Linked DNA regions of Neurospora crassa OR74A. The protein of the gene in region 1 interacts with the protein of each later gene in a pairwise test. Links are inferred from orthologs where the notes say so. Each region holds a gene or a part of one and is shown in the gene's direction. Other genes may lie near its edges.

Region 1 (4,481 bases):
GTACGGTACTCAAGCATTTGCACCGTGGTCCTACCAAGAGAAAACGATCGAGTTGCCACTGGTACAGCTGCAAGACGGCTCCCAACAGCATAGATGGGGTGGGGCGACGGACAGGTGCTCTTGACAAGTCGTGTTGTGAAGACCTGTTGTGGGATGCAGTTTCTCCTCTCACCCTCACATAGAGCCTGCCAGAAGGGAGGCGGATATGGAAAATAGAAAAGAATGAATCGGCCCGTCCGGATTTTCACAAGGAGATCTCCTTCGCTTGACAAATTAGGTAACATCCGGCAACTCAAAAGTATTTCCCGTCCCTCCATCTCGACGTATCTTCCAGCTCTGTAACCAAACAGTGTGCGATTGGCAGTTACATAGTGTGAGCCAACCGAAACTTCTCTCGCGACCTCCTGTACGACTTTGGAAATGTTGCCGTTAACTTGGCCATTCTACTCTAGGTAGGTAGCAGAGATAGATGGTGTGATGCGATTGGACCGAGCAACGCCACTTAGCGATCAAGTTCATGTGTCGTACTATACAGGAGGCCACTGACACTTGATGGGATCCTCGCCGTTCACGACAGCAAGTTAGTGGTTACATAGCAAACATCTTCACCGTGAGGTTCACAGTTATTTCCCGGCGAACATGAAAAAGAGGTCATATTGAGAGCACGCAACGCACGACCATAGAGGCTGGGATCACCAAAGCCACCATCGCCCTCACATTGACCTCGGCAACCGCTAAAGAACATGATACAATTCCCTGGCCTGGGATACGAAGGTCTTGAGTATCACTCGCAGCTCGGCTCGGCGGGACACTCTCCCGCGAGTTGCATTCAATGAAGGCTTAGACGGTCCAGACCCTAATGCAGCACGTCAACGCTGCTGTCGTATTTTGAAAGAATACCTCATGGTCCGTCAAAATTCTCACGGGCGATACCATATGCATAGGGATGTGGCTTGTGAAGGAACTTCAACAAGTGTTATGACTTGCAGCATCTTTCCCCGAAGGTGCGCAAATAACACCCTTACATTTCTACTATGTAATAAGAGCTTTCTCTGCACGTTATCCAGACCATGAAGAAGAGCCGGCTGGGTAAGTAGCCTACCTCTACAGAAAATAGTCCATCAACGTCTGTCGCAGAGATCTCATTACGATGTTGAAAAGAACACGAGAAGCATACTGTAATGTAGCTAGTATGAGGCAAACCTAGCGCTCTTCCTCAATGGGGTTAATCGTTGGTTTAACATTTTACAGTTCTTGCACAATTTAATTACCTTTTACCGTTTGACAAGAAACTTCCAGTTACGACGAAAGTGAAGCGGCGAAAGATACAATAGACTATGTACGAGCTGATGGGATTGATAGGGTAGTCTGGAATTTTAGATAAGGAAGTGCTGATAACAAGCTAGGTGCCTGTGTCGAAACGGCGACTTCACCTATCCAACAGCACTGGAGATCGTTGCGTGATTGCTTACTGAGTTTCCAGTAACTTCAGAGTAACTCGCTAGCGTATGCTATATTTAAAAAAAGGTCATTGTGAATTCATCCCCTCTCTCAAGCTTGATGTCGAGCATCTCCTTTGAGACTGCATGCACTTTGTGGTTTGTTTACTTGACATTGTCATCCGATTATAAGTGTTAAGGCAACCTCGTCTTATAGCGGTGCACCGCCCTGAAGCTTAACAACAAGAGAAGTGGGACCTACTTCCATTTCCAGAGAGCAGAATCACCCATCATTGGTCAATTCACAGCCAGCCCCATAAGCTGGTGCGGGGACGCCTGCCTCCACGCTTCGCCGTTTCCTGGACCTTGGAGAGCGCTATGGCAGAAAAAATTTTGGTCCATCAATATCGCCGGCTGGCAACCAAACATCGTCAGGTCGAACTTTTTTTTGTTTTGGTACGGGCAACGGCAAACACCGACGCCCTGCCATTTCTTAGTCAAGCGTCCATATTGAACCCTCAAGTCAGACACTTGTATGACAAGGCCAGCCTCGATACCCTAGCCTTGATTGATCTTCTTACAGCATTAGTCCAACCCTACCTAAAAAACAGACATGGCAGCTGGCAGCATAACCTCTTCCGTAACCTCGACATCCCAAACAATCACCCACGACCCCTCCACACACAACAGCGTCATGGCCGCTACCCTCGCCGCATCGTCGAGCGGCAGCACCTCTCCTTCGACAATTGCCAACAACCCCGTCGTCGCCTCCTTCCTCTCGGCCCTGGCCGACGAGTCCAACCGCCACGTCTTCCTGCAGCCGCCCTCGACCCTTCCCGCCGGATCCCTCCTGCTCGCCAAGGAGACCCTCGACGCGCTCGCCTCGCAGGTCAGTGACCACCAGCAGGCAAAGCTGAAAGAGATCGCGGCCACCATCGGTGGAAAGAAGCGCAAGCGTGAGGCTGGCTATGACAAGAATGCCGTGCTCAAGATTCGCAAGCTGCACGTCGACGACGGCTTCGAGACGGAGCAGATTTGGCAGCAGGCCAAGAAGATCATTGCCAGCGCCACAAAGGAGGCTGGCGATGTGCTGAAGGAGCTGGAGGAGAACGGGATTGTGGGCACCGGCGAGGAACAAGAGAAGACCATTGAGTTTGGAGAGGATGGGTTTGAGCTTGGTTCTGATGAGGAGGAGGAGGACGATGAGGAGGATGCTGATAGCGAATCTGGTTCTGGCTCTGAAGGAGAAGAGGATGAGGAGGATGACGAAGAAGAATTAGAAGGAGAAGAGGGCAGCCAGATCGACGACGATGAAGAAATCGAGATCGATGGCGAAGAGGTTGAATTCTCGGACGAAGATGGAGAAGGAGAGTTTGATGAGGAGGAGGAGGAAGAAGAAGAAGAAGAAGAAGAAGAAGAAGAGGAAGAGGATGCGCCAGAACTTGTCGAGGATCCCAACGGCCTCAACGACGGCTTCTTCTCAATAGACGACTTCAACCGGCAGACACAGTTGTGGGAGGACGCGGATGCCCGTGCGGACCCCAACGTCGATGCCGACAGCGACGACGAACAGCTAGACTGGCACGCCGATCCTTTCGCGACAAAGCCAAAATCAAAGAAGGGCAAGAGCGACAAGAAGAAGGACGAAGACCAGGATGAGGACGACGTCGACATGGGCGATGAATCCGAAGACGACGAGGCCCTCGAGGCTGCTGCCGCCGCCCACGCCAAGAAACTCAAGGGCAAGAAGAACGTGGAGCAGCTCGAGGACGATGGCGACGATCTCGGCCTTACAGATGGTGTTCTCGGTATGGACATGGACCTTACCGCCAACGACATTTACTACAAGGACTTCTTCGCGCCACCTCAAAAGAAGAAGACCGGCAACCAAAGGAAAGGAGGCTATTTCCCCAAGAAACTTGAGCAGCCAGATGAGGCCGATATGGAGAGAGCCGAGAATGATGTGCGCCGCGATCTCTTCGACGACATCTCGGAGAATGAAGATGAAGATAAGCTCTCGGATCTTGATGCTGGTGATCCGAGATCTCGCCGGTCCGCCCACGAGCGCAGACAAGCCAAGATTGCCGAGGAGATCCGCAGGCTCGAGTCTGAGCTAGTTGCCAAGCGCGCCTGGACTCTGTCCGGTGAGGCTTCCGCGCAAGCTCGTCCCATGAACTCGCTCCTGGAGGAAGACCTCGAGTTTGAGCATGTCGGAAAGCCTGTCCCCGTCATTACCGAGGAGGTTTCCGAGACGATTGAGGCGCTCATCAAACGCCGCATTCTTGCCAACGAGTTCGACGAGGTTCTCAGGAGACGTCCTGACACCCTCAATAACCCCAACAACGCGCGCCGCGGTCTCGTTGAGATCGACGACACCAAGGGCAAGCAGTCTCTCGCCGAGATCTACGAGGAGGAGCACATCAAGAAGGCCAACCCGGACGAGTACGTCAGCGCTTCGGACGAGAAGCTCACGCGCGACGAGGCCGAGATCAAGAACATGTGGAAGGACATCTGCGCCAAGCTCGACGCCCTCAGCAGCTGGCACTACAAGCCTAAACCCGCCGCACCCACCATCAGCGTTGTCACCGACGTCGCCACCGTCGCCATGGAGGACGCCATGCCCACCACGGCCCAGGGTGTGTCGGGTGGCGAGAGCACGCTCGCGCCCCAGGAGGTGTACGCCCCCGGCAAGGACTCAGTCGAGAAGGGCGAGGTCGTGGCCAAGAGCGGCCTGCCGATTGCCAAGGAGGAGATGAGCCGCGAGGAGAAGGCTAGGAGACGCAGACGCGAGAAGGAGCGCATCCGCAAGGCCGGCGGCCTGGATGCGAACAAGAACATCAGCAAGGGTGCCCAGGAACGCAAGGAGACGATGAGCCAGCTCAAGAAGGGCGGTGTCAAGGTTATTAACCGGAAGGGTGAGACGGTTGGGTTGGATGGCAAGAAGATCGCGGAGCAGAAGGGTCCTACGTCGAGTGGTGCCTTCAAGCTTTAAAGGTCGGGTTGTTAGACGAGGGATAGACGTAGGAAGAAGATGGATGATAC
Region 2 (4,597 bases), on another chromosome or scaffold:
TCTACGGAAGTTCTAATAATTTCGAGGTTTCTAGCATCAAAACCGGCCTTCTTAATAATAAAATCCTTATAAATTCCGGCTAGCGTAGCTATACAACCGAACCAGGGAATACTTCTCGGTAATAAAGGTCGTAAGGTATATAAGTACTAAAATTCCTTTCTAAAATCACACTATTCTAATACGCAATATAATTTATCGATAGCGAAAAGACTAATCCGTTTATAGAATTCTAGGGACCGCAATACAGCCTTAAATTTCGTACTTATCGTAAGTTCCGGGCTCAATAGAATATAAGTATAATCGCCGCATTAAATTTAGTCCCAAATATCCCAGTTCTATATATAAATTAATAAAGGTACTTAAGATTCGTAAAAAAGGGCAGAATACTTACTTTTAAAGTCACATCTTTATTTACCTATACTAGCTTTAAATCTAGCACTTTAGTAATAATATTATTATATTAACTTTCTCCAAACTTAATTAACAGTATAATCTATATTGTAATTTTATTATATAAAGCTAAAAATATATATAGGACAATACTTTTTCCGTAGCCCATTACTGCGACTAATATTATATCCTTCTATTCGTACGCCAACCGTACTACCGCCTTAACCTAGCCTTTTCGAGGGTCTTTACTATTACTAATAATATCTTTTATTACCCGCAATATACGCTAGGGGTCAACGGAGGGATCGAAATTAGGATCTATAGTATTAATACCTATAGAGGATAGAAAAAATTAAGGAAAAAAAATAACGTACTATAGAGTAAAGAAAACTATACTACTATATTAATAGTCGTATAATATCTATACCTACAAAGTTTTATAGTATTGGGATAAAAAGCCGTACTGTAATATATAGCTAACTAGGCATTGAATATACGGACTTACGTAAAGTTTTTACATTTTCTATAATAATTAATACTTTCAATAGTCGTAGAAAAAAATTAATAATACCATTAAATCCGTCTCAACGAACTCTTTCTCCTCATATCTTTTGTATAACCTAAATCTATTGTTTTATTTTAACGCTATATTATCTTTCTTAGAAGTTTATCAATATAAATTCCCCTATCCGCTTCTAGTCTAATTGGGAATTCAAACCTCTTTTTTAGGCGTTCTTATTCAATACCGGAAAGTATACTAAAAGAATGGGTACACGGATCACAATTTAGAAACTTTAGTAACTTTCAATTTATTATTTTTTTTGAGAACCCCGGGCGCGCAGCGCACGGGCCAGATGTGCGCGCAGCGCACTTTCCCAGCGGCCGCAGGCCGCCCATGCCTAAAAAAGAGGGTCTGATTCTGAGATAAGGGCCGGGCGCTCACTGTCTGTCAGTTGAACCCCACAGGGGCAACCAACCAACATTGCCCCACCCGACTGCCCCTGTCGGGTCTTCCACTGCCCCTGTTTGTGGATTGACCTCTTATCTCTTATCGGAGCTCCAGAGTCTCAAAAAATTTGGGAATTCCCGTCGCAAACTTGAACGAGACTCGAATTTGCAGAACTTCAATTGGAGGGACGACGCTCGGTCCACTGTTGTTTGGCTTTCAGTGCTCTCTCTCTCAGTGTCTTGTCACTATCAATTTCCTGTCTCCATTCCCAGGACATCCTCCTCCACCATCACCATCATATACCTATACCACCGCCACACATACAATGGAACCCGGATCAGCAAAACGACGCAAGATTGGCCATTCACGCGGCGGTGAAAGCGCAGTTGGCAACATCGACGCCGCTGCCTCCTCGGGTCTCTCGCGTGGCCGCGCATTCATCCTCGAAGCCGAAGAACTCGTCGACGAAGTGAAGCTCGACTATGCCACGGCCCTCGAAGGCGTCGACTCCCTCCTCCACAAGATCAAGGGCTCCATCGAAGCCATCGAAGCCCACGATGCCCTCCAGATCGCCGAGGCTGCCACCAAACTCGAAAAGAAACACAAGATCCCGATCCCGTTCCCCGAGCCGCGCCCGTCCGACAAGTCCAACTACAAGGTCGCCTTCGCAAAGCCTTCCCAGTTCAACGTTGTCGGCAGCTATGTGTCCAAGACCATGATCAAGGCCCAAAAGAGCCATGCTGTGGATATGGTGGTTGTGATCCCCGGCGAGACTCTGCAAGAGAAGGACTACCTCGACCTGCGATACTTTTACAAGAGAGCCTACTTCCTCGGTGTTGTGGCTGCTGCCCTACAAAAGGACCTGGCTGATGATGGAGAGCTTTCATACGAATACCTGAATGGGAACACCCTGTCCCCCATTTTGTCGTTGAAACCAAAGGTGGAAGGAGAAAAAAAGGAGGGCCAGCTGGACTACAGAGTGCGCATCATCCCTTGCGCCCCAGACAACTTCTTCCCCAAATCAAAGCTTCACTTGGGCGCTACCCTCGTGCGCAAAGCTGGCGGTGACGAGTCCAAGGCCGCGACCAAGCCTACGCCCTTCTACAACTCGACGATTGTTTCCGAGTCCTGCTTCTTTCCCTACTTGAAGCTCTTGCGACAAACCGAAAAGAAATGCGCCGCGTTCAAGAAGGCTTGCATCCTGGGTCGGGTGTGGTTGCAACAACGAGGACTGGGAAGCGATATGGCGGACGGTGGTTTTGGTCACTTTGAATGGGCGGTACTTTTGGCCCTTCTGCTCCAAAGCGGCGACAGCACCAAGGGACATGCGCCCTTGTCTACATCCCTGAGCGCCACCCAGTTGTTCAAGGCCATGGTCCAGTTCTTGTCTGTTACTAACCTGTCCGAGAAGCCGTGTGTTTTGGGAACTGCCACCGTCGAGTCCGAAACCACTGGTCCGGTTCTCTTCGACGCTGTTCGTGGTTTGAACGTTGCCTTCAAGATGAGCAACTGGTCTGCGGCCAAGCTACACCAACACGCCAAGTGGACAAGGAGCCTTCTCAACGACAGCACTGCCGACCAGTTTACCCCTACCTTCATCCTCAAGGCCGACCTCCCCTGGCAAAACTACGACCTCATTGCCCACCTCAACTACGATGGAAAGCAGGACAAGACAGAACCGATTGACTGCCGGGGACGGCTATGGGAATACAGCGACAAGGTGCACAGGGTTCTCAAGCGGGCTCTTCAGGACGAAGAACTAGGTGAAAGGGCTCGGTCGATTCACATTCAACTACCCAAGAGCTCATCCTGGGATCTCACCAAGAAACCCTCCACCAAGCAGAACCACACAATCGAGATTGGTGTCCTCTTCAATGCCGCCAACATGACCCGCTCTGTCGACCGCGGTCCGGCCGCTGGACCTAGCAACGAGGAGAAGGAGGAATGCGCCAAGTTCCAGCGGTTCTGGGGTGAGAAATCGGAACTTCGTCGGTTCGAGGGTGATTCTATCAGGGAGACCTTGATCTGGTCGTCCACCTCCCCCTTTGACCTCTGCGAGGAAATTATGCGCTACATCCTCAAGCTCCATCTTCGCGTTGGCTACCTCGAGGACGAGCTCACCTTCCACGGCGATGGCTTCACCGAGTTGATTCCTATCAAGCCGACCGACACCTCCGTCTTCAACGCCGCTCGCAAGGCCTTTTCCTCCTTCGAGAAGGATATCCGCGACTTGGACGACATGCCGCTGCACGTCAGGCAAATAGCCCCCATCTGCCCCGAACTGCGACACGCCTCCGTCAAGGTGCCCTTCTCGACCGTCAACAAATCCGGCCCACGCCCCCTGGAATGCGTCATCTCCTTTGAAGCCTCCGGCAAGTGGCCCGAATCCATCGTGGCCATCCAACGCACCAAGATCGCCTTCCTGCGCATGATCGGCGACCTCCTGGAGCGTTCCAAGCCCGGCGAGGTCCGCTCTTACGTCGGTCTCGAGTCCTCTACCACCACCAACACGGAACTCGAGAACCTCGCCTACCTCGACATCGTCTACGAGTCCGGTCCTGCCTTCCGCCTGCGCATCCACTCTGACCTCGAAGAGGCCCTCCTCACGCGCCAATCGCACGACAAGACCATCGACCAACACCACCGCCACCAAGCCTCCGTGCTCCTCTCCAACTTCCGCAGACTCTACTACCACCTCCCTCTGCACACTCAATCCATCAACACCTTCGCCACCCGCTTCCCCGCCTTCTCGCCCACCGTCCGCCTGCTCAAACACTGGTTCTCCTCACACAAACTCGCCTCCCACTTCACCCCCGACTTCATTGAACTCGTCGCCCTCCAGACTTTCTTGAGCCCCTACCCCTGGGACGCACCCTCCTCCCCTTCCGTCGGCCTTCTCCGCGCCCTCCTCTTCGTCAGCAGATGGGACTGGCGCTCCGAGCCGCTCATCGTCGACACCAACAGCGACATGCCATCGTCCGAACGCTCCGCCATCGCCACCCGTCTCGAAGCCTGGCGCAAGATCGATCCGCTCATGAACCACACCGTCCTCTTCGTCGCCACGGCGCAGGAATCTTCCGGCGTCGCTTACACCACCGTCAACGGCATCGCGCAACCCAGCAAAGTCGTCGCAGCACGCATGACTGCCCTCGCCAAGACCGCCTGCCACGTTATTCGCGAAGAGGGCGTCGAGCTGGACGCTAGACGGCTGTTCGTCCCCAGTACGAAGGAATATGATGTCCTATTGCACCTTTCCCC
Region 3 (4,487 bases), on another chromosome or scaffold:
ATGGCGAGCACGAAGCTGCTCAGCATCCGTGGGAGGGGTGACGAGCCAGTTGAGGAAAGCCCTGTCTTCGATCAAGGGTTGCCACCTGGATATATCCCAGCTCATATCCTTGGTCGACGTACTAGCACCACACGGCTGGCGGCAGAGGAGGACCACAACCGTGTCTGACTTGGCAGGGATGAAACCGAGGATGAAGACATTCTTGGTGCCGCAGTTGTAACATTCGAGGACGGTATCGCCGAGGGAGGACTCGGGGTGAAGTTGAACTTCCTTGTGACGGGCGCGAACAAGGTGGTTGACGATATGGGACGAGAAGGCGCTTCCTTTGGCGCTGCAGAACCACTTGTTACAGGTAAGGCACTTGACGACGCTAGAGGGCGAGTGGATGCCACAGTAGGCACAGGCGTGGGGAGGCAGTTCCTTCTCCTCCACGGGGGCATCCAGCTTGAGGCTCTTCATGCCGTCGACTGGAACGCTGGCCAAACTCTCGTCATCATCGTCATCAAGGACCTCGGTCTCGTTGTCGTCGTCATCGTGGCGGCGTCTACCATTGCCGCGGGGACCACGTCCACCGTAGACACCGTAGAGGAGGTTCTCATCGGGATCGATATTGGACAGTTCGTCGGAGCCACCGGCCTTGATGGCAGCAGCAGAGTCGGAAACCAAGTGGTTTCCAAGGTGTGTGAAGGACACCTCCATGTTGGCCATGATGGCGAGTGGGTTGACGGAGGTAAACTCTGGAGCACCAGCAGCTGGTCAGTAAGTGTCTGGGAGGGAAATTCGCAACAGTAACGTAGGGTCAGGCAGGTATCGTTGGGGAACGAGATAAGTAAGGTACTGTTGGTATACGCCGCGGTCCAGCCTGTAGCTGTTGAGCGGGCTGTTGGGGAGGGATGTGTATTTCAGTGTTTACATGAACATGACACGCAAACAAGCGGCGTACCTTGAAGAGTTCACACCCGGAAGTTTTGTCGAAAGGTAAAAGGTGTGGCTGTCGTATTGCGGGTTGTCGCAATGCGGGACTATGGAAAGATGTAGATTATGGGCTTGGACGTCGTCTAAAAGGTCACATCATCGCATAACGGATTGGATCGGCGAGCGGGCTGTGTTGCGCGCGGGGGCTTTCGAAACGACGACACTGCCAGAACGTCGAGGTGCTGATGCAGAGTGAGACCACTGATCGGCTCGCTTAAGGTTGTTCTTGGTGTTGTGAAGCAAATGGTTTGGTTGCCGCCGTTCAAGGTCACGGTTGTTGTTTGCTTGGGGGAATTTTGCCGGTGGCCGACTTCCGTTCAGTTTGTGTTGGCGGACGGGTCACGGTTGCGGTTCAGGTTGGAGGTTCGTCGTTCCCTTGTTTGATATCCGACGGCCTTCTATCAGCAGCCTCCAGTTCTGGGCTCAGCTGTTTGAGAAGCACGGGCAGTCATAGCGCCTGAAACTGCCCTGTATTCTAGAAAGCGGGCAGCAAGTAGGTAGGTAGGTACTGGGAAACCGGCACAAGCTGCAGCGAAGGGAGCCAGGGTACCTAAGGTGGCGTTGAACCGGGCGACCCAGGCGCGATCTCTTTCCCGGCAGGCGCAAATCGACGGGACCTAAGCCAATAGGTATCCGCCAAGCTGAAAAGATCCGTGCACCTCGCGCTTAGTCCCATTCGATTGTAACTTTTTTCGACTTTTTTCTCTGTGAACACCCCTGTCGTCACCAACCACTCCGCCCTCCACTAGTATCGACCCGGAACATCTGAATTTCTGCCAGTCTTCGCAGCCTTAATTCTTATCGACAACCTCATTACTACCACTTTCGACAACACGACTCTGAGAGCTCGGCGCGATCCCTTCCACCGAATCACTTATTACCGTCTGATAAGCGTGTCAACACAACAAGATGATTGTAAGTGTCCCTGTCTACTCGTCATCTTCTCCAAGTTTCTCAATGTCCATGACTAACATCTGCAATAGAGAAAGCAAGCTCGCCAAAGGCGGGACTACCTTTACCGAAGAGCCCTCCTGCTCAAGGAGGCCGAGGTTGCAGAGAAGCGCGCCAAGCTGAGGTCTGCCCTGGCCTCGGGCAAGCCACTCGACCCCGAGATTGCGAAGGACAAGGAATTGCGAAAGGACTTCGACTACGATGTTTCGAGGGATGTGAACGGAGACGCCATCGATATCGACGACGAATACTCGGAGTTGTCGGGTGTCATTGACCCCAGAATCTTGGTTACGACAAGTCGCGATCCCTCCAGCAGACTCGGCCAGTTCAGCAAGGAAATCCGTCTCCTACTACCCACCAGTGTTCGGCTGAACCGTGGTAACCTCGTTTTGGAAGACCTTGTTGGCGCCGCCAAGGCGCAAAACTTGACGGATGTTGTTTTGCTACACGAGCACCGTGGTGTCCCTACCGCCATGACCATTTCCCATTTCGTACGTTGTCCCTCCAGGCATGTTGTTGTACTTGCAAAACGCATTTTCTAATCCTTGCTATAGCCCCATGGCCCGACGCTCATGGTCTCCCTCCACAACGTCGTTCTCCGCGCCGATATTCCCAAGTCGATAAAGGGCACAGTCAGCGAAAGCTACCCCAGGCTAATTTTCGAGGGCTTCAGCACCAAACTCGGTGAGCGAGTGGTCAAGATCCTCAAGCACCTCTTCCCTCCCCGCGAGCCGACACAGAAACCCAACGTCGGCAACAGAGTCATAACATTTGTCAACAACGACGATACGATTGAGGTCAGGCACCACGTCTATGTCCGCACCTCGTACGACTCGGTCGAGCTCAGTGAGGTTGGACCCCGGTTTACGATGAAGCCCTTCAAGATCACCATGGGCACCCTCGACAACAAGGATGCGGATACCGAATGGCACCTCAGCCAGTACACCAGGACCAGCAGGAAAAAGAACTACTTTTAAGCGGTGATTGGAACAAAAGGGCCGCTATAGTCGTGTTATTATCGGTTGGATTGGGTGGGATGTCACAGCAAGTGAGCATGGCTTCCGAGACAAGTTGCTGCTGGGCCACGAACGTCAAGCACTGGACCTGATGATTGCGCCGGACAAACCTGAAAAAAGGATAGCCAGGGGAAACGCAAAGACACGATCTGGTGGCGGAAAGCCCTTTTCACCAATTTGTCTGCTGCTCAGTAGCAGGAGGCAATGGGAAGACCGCTCAGATGCCTAGCCGAATTCTCGCTTATATTCTCCTCTACCGCCCGAGGTAGTACGTGGCTGGCCAAGATAGCGAGTACTGTGTTCCAGCTTCGGCACTCTAGTGGAACCAGAGATGATCGCATCAACGTCTGACTGGTGATGGGCGTGGTTGCTGGGTCGGCTGCTTGCCGAGTGGCTGTGAGGATCGGAAGGTTCCCGCGGTGAAACGAGCATGTCATGTCTATCAACGACATGTCACACTGGAGGTAACGCACGCAACGATGGGGCTGGAGGATGGGACAAAAAAGGGAGCAGCAGTCTCATGAGATACCAATGTTGGGATTTGGATGTAATTTTAAGAGCATTGGGTTCACATATCAGGAAACGGACCGGAGTTGAGGGTGTAAAGGTATATCATTTCTCAGCTGAGCGCGGAATAAACAAAACATGTGGTCGAACGGGTGCTTCCATTTGGGACTGAGTGCTGGCATGTAAAGAAAGAAAGGCTGTTTGAGCGGCTCAGCAGCAAGGCGGGGACTTGGCTGAAGTGTGCAACTCAATGAGATCAGATCAGAAACATAAAGCAATTGGTCGATGAACTCGAAATATGATCTGCCAAGCTTTCTACCAGTGGGAAGGAAAAGGACCCCTTTTCTCCTTGGGGCTCCATTCCAAACAAAAGGGGGCGCGTCGACGTGGAGACGGTGTTCCGTGGGGCCGCCTGCACGCTCTTTTGAAGGTTCCACACCGGCGATTGGTTCCTCACTTCCAACTCTGGGGACAGCGCAAGTGCCAATTGCCGGTTCACAATTGACGATATCGTCACAGGGCGGCAACAGAAAGATTTGTAGCTTGTCCATTCCTCTGCCATTGGAGAATTAGGCGATCAAAGTTTGCCATCCTCCCGTCCACGTGGTGAATGCGACGATAAGTCGGGGTTCTTGACAGCGGAGATTTTACCACGTTTAACACTCCGAGTTCATGCGGCTGTTAAAGCTGTACTTTGCGGTGCCCTCTTCCTTCCCATCTTTTGACAATAACAAACAACCTCTCAGCAGTCTGAAGTCGTCAGCTCTTGAAGCTTGTGCCTTGATGCTGCATTCCGTGCAGGATGCAGCTGACCTTGGGCACAGCAACAACTGGAGACGTGGGTCGGAAACCCGCTGTGACCGAGACTCTTTTCCCATTGTGGTTTTGAGTCGGAGTCTGGCTCAGCATTCATCATCAACAGAGAGACAGGGATATGGATCATCCATGGCCACGGTTCAAGACAGCTCCGTGGAATGATGTGAAGAAGCTTGGAATATAGTGCAAACTCATCTGCAAACACCTTTCAGCCTCTCTCTC

Evidence for each region.
Region 2: the proteins of NCU03952 (region 1) and NCU09437 interact in binary tests that used the Saccharomyces cerevisiae proteins (3 or more experiments, as listed by UniProt). The link is inferred for Neurospora crassa OR74A from reciprocal best matches to the Saccharomyces cerevisiae genes MPP10 and UTP22.
Region 3: the proteins of NCU03952 (region 1) and NCU04243 interact in binary tests that used the Saccharomyces cerevisiae proteins (3 or more experiments, as listed by UniProt). The link is inferred for Neurospora crassa OR74A from reciprocal best matches to the Saccharomyces cerevisiae genes MPP10 and IMP4.

What each region holds. Positions count from the first base shown.
Region 1 is NC_026506.1:2,220,730-2,225,210, forward strand, and holds the start of NCU03952 (U3 small nucleolar ribonucleoprotein Mpp10), read left to right. Parts: upstream 1-1,643; 5' UTR 1,644-2,052; coding exon 2,053-4,431; 3' UTR 4,432-4,481. UniProt on the Saccharomyces cerevisiae protein: Involved in nucleolar processing of pre-18S ribosomal RNA. Required for the early cleavages at sites A0, A1 and A2 during 18S ribosomal pre-RNA processing.
Region 2 is NC_026507.1:182,340-186,936, reverse strand, and holds the start of NCU09437 (hypothetical protein), read left to right. Parts: upstream 1-1,579; 5' UTR 1,580-1,664; coding exon 1,665-4,597. UniProt on the Saccharomyces cerevisiae protein: Involved in nucleolar processing of pre-18S ribosomal RNA and ribosome assembly.
Region 3 is NC_026505.1:5,331,358-5,335,844, forward strand, and holds NCU04243 (U3 small nucleolar ribonucleoprotein IMP4), read left to right. Parts: upstream 1-1,634; 5' UTR 1,635-1,884; coding exon 1,885-1,890; intron 1,891-1,958; coding exon 1,959-2,417; intron 2,418-2,480; coding exon 2,481-2,903; 3' UTR 2,904-3,769; downstream 3,770-4,487. Other genes in the region: prd-6 (ATP-dependent helicase NAM7), read right to left, coding at 1-708. UniProt on the Saccharomyces cerevisiae protein: Required for the early cleavages at sites A0, A1 and A2 during 18S ribosomal pre-RNA processing.